Linked DNA regions of Bombyx mori. The protein of the gene in region 2 interacts with the protein of the main gene of each other region in a pairwise test. Links are inferred from orthologs where the notes say so. Each region holds a gene or a part of one and is shown on either strand. Other genes may lie near its edges.

Region 1 (3,929 bases), on a different chromosome or scaffold from region 2:
TATATGTATAGACTAGCTGTACCCGTCTGCTTCGCTGGGTATTTAAAATGAATATTAATATTTCTCAACCCCACAAAGATTCTCTACATCAACTCTCCGCAACTGGTGTAGGGAGTCCAACACTCATATAAATATTAGTCTATCCATTAGGTACATGTATTTTCTACATGGATACCAAGTTTCAAGTCAATCGGATGCATGGTTCAGTAGTTATAATGGAACGTCTGTAAAAACCACTGTAGATTTATATATTAGTATAGATAATGACACGACACATCGGTAGCAGATAGTTACGTATTATCGTTTACACCAAATAATTTTTAATCAGTTTATACTCCAATGAATTTAAAGAAAGTACATACTTATTCTTTTTTTTTTTACTTTCCTAACTTCTCGAACACTGACCAAACAGTATATTGTAAATCGAATTGAAAGATCTACCAGCTAGTATGAGACGCGTTAAATATTTATGAGTTGGAATACTTACCGTCTACCATAACCATCATATCTCATTTCCCACCCAGGAGGCAAAGGCTCCTCAGCAGCATTAGGGTAAGCAGTATTAGCAGATGTTGGCTGTGTTGATGTTGGATCCTGTGTACCAGGCAGGCGTGACTGCTGTGAGGGGCCTGCAGTTTCTGATGATGACTGTGTTGCAGTACTCGGTAAATGTATAGACCCATTGCTCATTGGTGGAGGTCCTGGAGGTGGCTTTAAAAATGAAAAAAATAATTTATACAGAACTAACTTTTTCTTCTTAGTTGTATTGACCATATAAACACTATACTTTGATGGAATGTGCAAAATATATCTTTACTCTTTAATGAAAGTTCTTTACAATCTCAAAACTTTAAAATGTAATTTAAAACTAAAATATAAATAGATCAAAAGATAAACCTTTTTAAAATAGAATGGGAAAGCTTAAATTAGTCATGAACAATTTAATGGAAATTAATAATAATTCATGAATAAATGTTATTACTCAACCAGGCAGCCTTGTTGTAGTAGATGGATTGTTTCTATTTTAAATTTTTTGTATGATACAAATAATAGAAACATCAACTTACTCCAAGTGTTAGTGATCGCATCATGGATCTAACAGTCTCAGGATTGTTGCGCATTCTGATTCTGGCTCGCACCCCTTCATTAAGGGGAGCTGCAGTATTTGCCGTTTCACCAAGTAATTCACGTGTTTGTGTCAACACTCCAGGGTCAATTCTTAAGCCATCTAGAAGCAACACCAGTTCTGCTGTTTTTACCTCAGCATTTCCACTAGTATTCTCTTGAGAAGATGTTTTCATTAAATCTAAAAAAGTGCAAACATTACAACAAGTTTTGTTTTACTTGTTTACTGAATTTATATGAAGCACAATTTCACAAATTTTGAATATTGTAATGTCTTTCTTTTACATTCTTATTATATTGAAAAATTGTACTTATTTTAAAATGAATTCTCAGTGAAGAGAGTTTTATAAGGCTATATTAAATAATCTTCAATTATTCTTAATTTCAACAGAAACTGGTTCAGTTTAACTCACCTAATGTAAGTTCTAAATTCTCACATTTCCCATTACAGTAAAACAAAACTTTTAATAGGTTCACTTTTTTTTCACCAATCACATTGTCTTTCCTAAAGCTATGATAATCTGCAAGACGGAACAGTAATTGCGATTGTGGCGTCACCAAAATAGTAAGATCTTCTTTCCATTTTGGATGCAAGGTGTTCCTTATAACTTCAGTCTTTCTCAATATTTTATCATCAATTATAACTTGCAGGTATGGATTTGGTTTGAACAAGCCTGAATTTTTTATATTTGCTGATTCCACTAAAAATATACAATGTGTGTTAGAAGATTTGATAATTTCATTTAATATCATTTGCAAAAATATTTCAAGATTAATTTTCAATCAGTTTAGATCAAAATGTATTTGAACTTACCTGTTAAGCTCAGTTGATGATATGTGGACACAGAAATTGGAGCAGTGAGTGAAGATATATTTTCATTCATAGTGTATGCTCTTAGTTAAACCTTTTGAATGAAGCATAATATTGTTTTATTTAGGCTGTGGTTTCATCTTAATACTGGACATTTCTGGGAAAGAAAAATAAAATATGGAGTTCTACTTTTCACATTTTATTCAGTATCATGAATAATTGAAGTTAATGTTTTATAAAATTTAAATTAACGGGCTATAGGTGTTAGGAATACTTGTCCCATAAGGCAGTAATTATAGTTTAAAGGTAACATTGATAATGATTTTGTACATTGTATTGAAAATTTAACCATATGTATGAAGTATTGTATGGAATTATTAATTGGTTTGTCCTTATTATTTAGGTTGATGATCAAAATAGAATAAAGTTTAAAATTTTATTACGATTTTAATGGTAATAAGTTTGAAATTAAATGGGCTTCTATGCTGTTTTTTTGTGTGTGAAAAATACTGTAGCAGAACACTGTCATTAATGTTGCTATTACCAAACCAAAAGAAAAATAGTAATTTTTTTTTGCTTCCAATTAACGCTGCTAAATTACCGATCCCGATCTGAAAGCATTTGCCAATAAGTTGATTAAGTGTTTTACTGGACAATTGATTATTATCTGTCAATGACTTAAATAACCAGCTTAAACGAGAAGACACTTATTGTTTATACGTCTTGTAACGATAAACAAACACGAAGTGCACAATACAAACATACCTCCTGAAACAATTATAGTATTAATGTTACACAACAATGAATTATTACCATATGAAGCGAGTTCGTCCGAAGCTAAGAATCCTTCGAATTATCTTATTATCGTATTCTTATCACTGTGAAAGGAAACGTAAATAACGCCACATTCTCTTTATCACATTACTTATTGAAATCTAGCGCAGAAGGCACATAAATACACGTACACGAAAATCTGAATGTATACAGAAAATTTTAGTATTTTTTTAAATTTATTAAATGATATCCTGAGTAAATAATTTTTCACATTCCCTGAAATTAGTCACAGTATGTCACGCACCTGTCACGGTCGATCGATTATATTAATGATGTCCATTAATTTATCTCAACCAATATACCTAGTAATTTCTAATCTACCACGTCCTATCGCAGAGTATGTCTGTACATAATACCTATAAATTAGAGGTTACTGAAGACTATTAAATCGATTTTATACAATTTCCACTAGTTTTCTATATATCAAATTTATCTACTTATACTAAAAAGATAAATAAATAGTGAAACTGACTAATCACTTATGTGACGGAGCATCTTGACCGTAAGTCGAGCACCTACCTATGCCTTACCACCTTTTACTGGTGGTAAGGTGTCCTATGAACCTGCATGGGTAGGTACCACTAGATGCCTATTTCTGCCGTGAAGCAGTTAATTACGTTTTGGTTTGAAGGGTTGACAGCTGCTGTACTGTAAAAACGGAGAGTTAAAACTCATATCTCAAGGTGGGACACGTTGGTACATGCGCTTACGTTGTTGATACATGGCTCCGGTAACGATTTAACAGCAGTTGGGACATGAGTTCGTTTACTGCAACTAGCATAAATCGCAATAAAAAAAAACCTATGGTGGAAGTTTTGGTAAGCTCATTGAACGTGATAAGTTAGGCTAGGACCCAAAGAGGACGCCCGCTGACTATTAACGACGTAACAGGTGACCCTGCTAAGTTCAGTCCTGGGAAGCTCGCACAAACACCGTTATATAATCGTCTTATAAAAGTCGGAGACCAGAATGGAAGACAACGATCACACGTGGGGTAGACCAGGGGCTCTACCAGAGCCCAAGATAGCTCATCACATAACTTGATTCTGTTACGATCAGCTCAAGTTACGGATGATGCCAAAAGTTGAGACTTCGATCTCACGTCTCAAATTGCGAGTTGATGTTCAGCTGATGTCCAGCGTACTTTTTTGTTAATTTT
Region 2 (3,833 bases):
ACGCTGAAATATCCTCTCAAGGCTATCAGGTTAGGTAGGAAAAAAAAATTAGTATCGCCATCTGGACTATTTCTGCTGCGAAGCTGACGCGGTTTTAACTCTGTTTTAACGGTGAGGCAGCATTTGTGCAATACAATTGGATCTTCGACCTCACGTCTCGTGATGGGTTGTGGGATTTCCGTTGTTATGTCAACGGTCTAAGCTGACTTCTTTAAACAATATGAGATTGTTTAAACATCACGGATTAAAAACAAAAAGAGTAATCATGTTATAAATATTAATCAGGGACAGGATGGCTGCCAGAAATTTCAGAGAAGAACTTTCTAATGCAATACAGGTAATTCTTCTATAACAATTTATAAGAATTATGAAAAAATAAAAATCAAATCAACAATATTACTGGTGGTAGGACCTCTTGTGAGTCAGCACGGCTGAGTACCACCGCCCTGCCTATTTCTGTCGTTTAGCAATAATGCGTTTCGGTTTGAAGGGTGGGGCAGCCATTGTAACTATACTGAGACTTTAGAACTTATATCTCAAGGTGGGGGCGCGTTTACGTTGTAGTTGTCTATGGGCTCCAGTAACCACTTAACACCAGGTGGGCTGTAAGCTCGTCCAACCATTTATGAATTAAAAAAAAAAACTGGTCCAACCAGCGTATTGAACTTCTGCCTGTGGGCCAGCCGGAGTAGTATTAGTGCGTAAATGTTAAAAGTACGAACCTGGTAATGTGTGTATATCGGATTAGGGTAGAGGTGTGGTGACGAAGGCGGCGAAAACGCGGGAGCCACGATGGTGTGTGGCACGTGCGCTGACACGCCGCGTCTGTTACGTGCCTTCCACCACTTTCTCGAATCATCTAGAACCTGATATAGAACAATGTTGGATGAAAGATTACGTCATGAATTTGAAATTTTGACACATTGAAACACCATGAAAATAAGTATAAAGTAAGTAAAGAGACCTTTCTCGAAGTCAAACATATTTCAGGACTTAATTTTGTAATACAAATTGTAATTTGCTTAATTACTGGTGGTAGGACGTCTTGTGAGTCCGCACGGGTAGGTACCACCACCCTGCCTATTTCTGCTGTGAAGCAGTAATGCGTTTCGGTTTGAAGGGTGGGGCAGTCGTTGTACTGTAAAAACTGAGACCTTAGAACTATTATCTCAAGGTAGGTGGTGGCATTTACGTTGTAGATGTTTATAGGCTCCGTCACGACTTCACATTAGGTGGGCCGTGAGCTCGTCCACCCACTTAACGCATTTAATGTCGAACACACTGCGCTGTGGAGGATCGAGGGCCCGGACTCACGGCGCCGTTGTGCGTGCATTGATCAATATATTGATCTTATAAGATCGCTACTTTACGCATATGTCCATATGCGTCACATAATGCTATCAACACGAACGGTGGAAACGGTACATACTGCTGCATAAAAAGAAACATAATTACAAGCCCGGCGCCGTGTGCTCGGTTCCCAAATCCTTCATGGCGCCGTGTGGTTGGCATTAAATGTGTTAAGCAATAAATAAAAAATACAATCAATTTAAACTAGCCGTATTTGAATAAACCCGCAGGAAGCCACTTTTTTTTCTACTGAAATACGTACTTAGCTCATGCTTGAGATTGGGAGAATTTGCTAGAATTCTGAACAAGATTAGAACTTACCTCTAAATACTCTCCCCTAACGACACCATGGAAATAAGTATAAAGGAAGTTAAGAGACCTTTCTCGAAGTCAAACATATTTCTGGACTTCATTTTGTAATACAAATTATAATTTGCTTAATTACTGGTGGTAGGACGTCTTGTGAGTCCGCACGGGTAGGTATCACCACCCTGCCTATTTCTGCTGTGAAGCAGTAATGCGTTTCGGTTTGAAGGGTGAGGCAGTCGTTGTACTGTAAAAACTGAGACCTTAGAACTATTATCTCAAGGTAGGTAGGTGGTGGCATTTACGTTGTAGATGTTTATAGGCAGATATGAAGTGGTTACCGGAGTAACCACTTCACATTAGGTGGGCTGTGAGCTCGTCCACCCACTTAACGCATTTAATGTCGAACACACTGCGCTGTGGAGGATCGAGGGCCCGGACTCACGGCGCCGTTGTGCGTGCATTGATCAATATATTGATCTTATAAGATCGCTACTTTACGCATATGTCCATATGCGTCACATAATGCTATCAACACGAACGGTGGAAACGGTACATACTGCTGCATAAAAAGAAACATAATTACAAGCCCGGCGCCGTGTGCTCGGTTCCCAAATCCTTCATGGCGCCGTGTGGTTGGCATTAAATGTCTTGAGCAATAAATAAAAAATACAATCAATTTAAACTAGCCGTATTTGAATAAACCCGCAGGAAGCCACTTTTTTTTCTACTGAAATACGTACTTAGCTCATGCTTGAGATTGGGAGAATTTGCTAGAATTCTGAACAAGATTAGAACTTACCTCTAAATACTCTCCCCTAACGACAGTTAATTCTTTATCGTTATTTGCAGTGCGAGGGTAGGTGACGCGCACAACGCGGCCTCCCCGGGCCGCAACGCCCCGGGCCCACGCTTCACCCAAATCTGCTGAAAAAATTAATAGTTTATAATATATAATATAATATAATAGTTTATAATATAATAAATAAGTTTAAAAACCCTGTCTAAGGGAGTTTATATTTTTTAGAGTAGTCGCTCCCCAATAGTCGAAATTCGACTATAATTAACTGTAATTAAAACTTTGACAATTATTATGGTTCTATTGTCAAAGACTTCTTTAATCACAGATCTCATCTCCTTTTTATCATCGCACCTCCCGCCATCGGAGCAGAGTTCATCCATATTATCTGGAACCGCTGCGTTCATTGACAGTGCGTTTCCAAAGATTTTTTTTGCCATGTACCATCCGGCTTTGGAATGAACTCCCCTCCACGGTGTTTTCCGAGCGCTATGACATGTCCTTGTTCAAACGAGGCTTGTGCAGAGTACTTTATGGTAGGCAGCGGCTTGGCTCTGCCCCCGGCATTGCTGACGTCAATGAGCCTTAGTTCAGGCACGGAATGTTATTATTATTATCTTGCTTTGCAAGAGACGCGTAAACAATTTTGAAACATAAGGCTACAAAAATATAATAAACAAAAATTCAATTGTGGATTCTCGTTGGCTCTTTTGATTGACAACCGACCACTGGTCTATAGTTTCGTTTTTTGTTTAATCGAAATTGGATGCCTTTCTAATTGTTTATGGACAAATTGCATTCGGAGAACTGTCGAGACTATTGTTTACCTTCATCTCTGTCTGCGGGGCGATACGGGGGCTCTCTGTCGGGCGATGAGGCAGCGGAGCCCGAATCTTCGCGGCCGATTGGTGGTCTCAAGTTATTTCTGAAATTTAATAATAAAATTTCTCATGTAACAGAACTGTATCCTTTTTTCAGCTTGAGGCTGTTTCAGCTTTGTCTTAACGTGTAGGTGAGCTCACGGGGCTCAAACCGGGCGTGTTGCTAACACTGGCCCTAGTAAGCGCAGTGCTTCGCAGAATCTACCACCGGATCGGAAACGCGACCCACTGAGAAGATCCAGCGAGAAACTCAGTGGGCTGTGTCTATGGGTTAATTTACCAGTCGAGCCCTTCGTTGCAAGCGACGGGTTCAGCGTGCACCGTGACCAGTGCTTGAGGTACCTAAAAGCACCGTTAATGGATCGGGAGGATCCTTAATGACGTGATGTATACTAATGGCGGGTACTGAGAATGGCGGGAATTACCTTGGCCTCTTAGGTTTCGTAACGGTATCTCTAGCATATTGTATTAGATGTAATTTTGCTTTGCCTTAGAAT

Evidence for each region.
Region 1: the proteins of epidermal growth factor receptor kinase substrate 8-like protein 1 (region 2) and E3 ubiquitin-protein ligase Su(dx) interact in a two-hybrid assay, tested with the Caenorhabditis elegans proteins (2 studies listed by BioGRID). The link is inferred for Bombyx mori from reciprocal best matches to the Caenorhabditis elegans genes eps-8 and wwp-1.

Annotation. Positions count from the first base shown.
Region 1 is NC_085110.1:8,432,903-8,436,831, forward strand, and holds the start of E3 ubiquitin-protein ligase Su(dx), read right to left. Parts: upstream 3,125-3,929; 5' UTR 3,015-3,124; exon of another isoform or gene 2,815-3,014; 5' UTR 2,750-2,814; exon of another isoform or gene 2,702-2,749; intron 2,680-2,701; exon of another isoform or gene 2,481-2,679; intron 2,094-2,480; 5' UTR 2,010-2,093; coding exon 1,940-2,009; intron 1,827-1,939; coding exon 1,539-1,826; intron 1,307-1,538; coding exon 1,068-1,306; intron 712-1,067; coding exon 488-711; intron 1-487. UniProt on the Caenorhabditis elegans protein: E3 ubiquitin-protein ligase which accepts ubiquitin from an E2 ubiquitin-conjugating enzyme in the form of a thioester and then directly transfers the ubiquitin to targeted substrates. Ubiquitinates klf-1.
Region 2 is NC_085133.1:7,042,949-7,046,781, reverse strand, and holds part of epidermal growth factor receptor kinase substrate 8-like protein 1, read right to left. Parts: intron 3,381-3,833; coding exon 3,283-3,380; intron 2,584-3,282; coding exon 2,459-2,583; intron 867-2,458; coding exon 723-866; intron 1-722.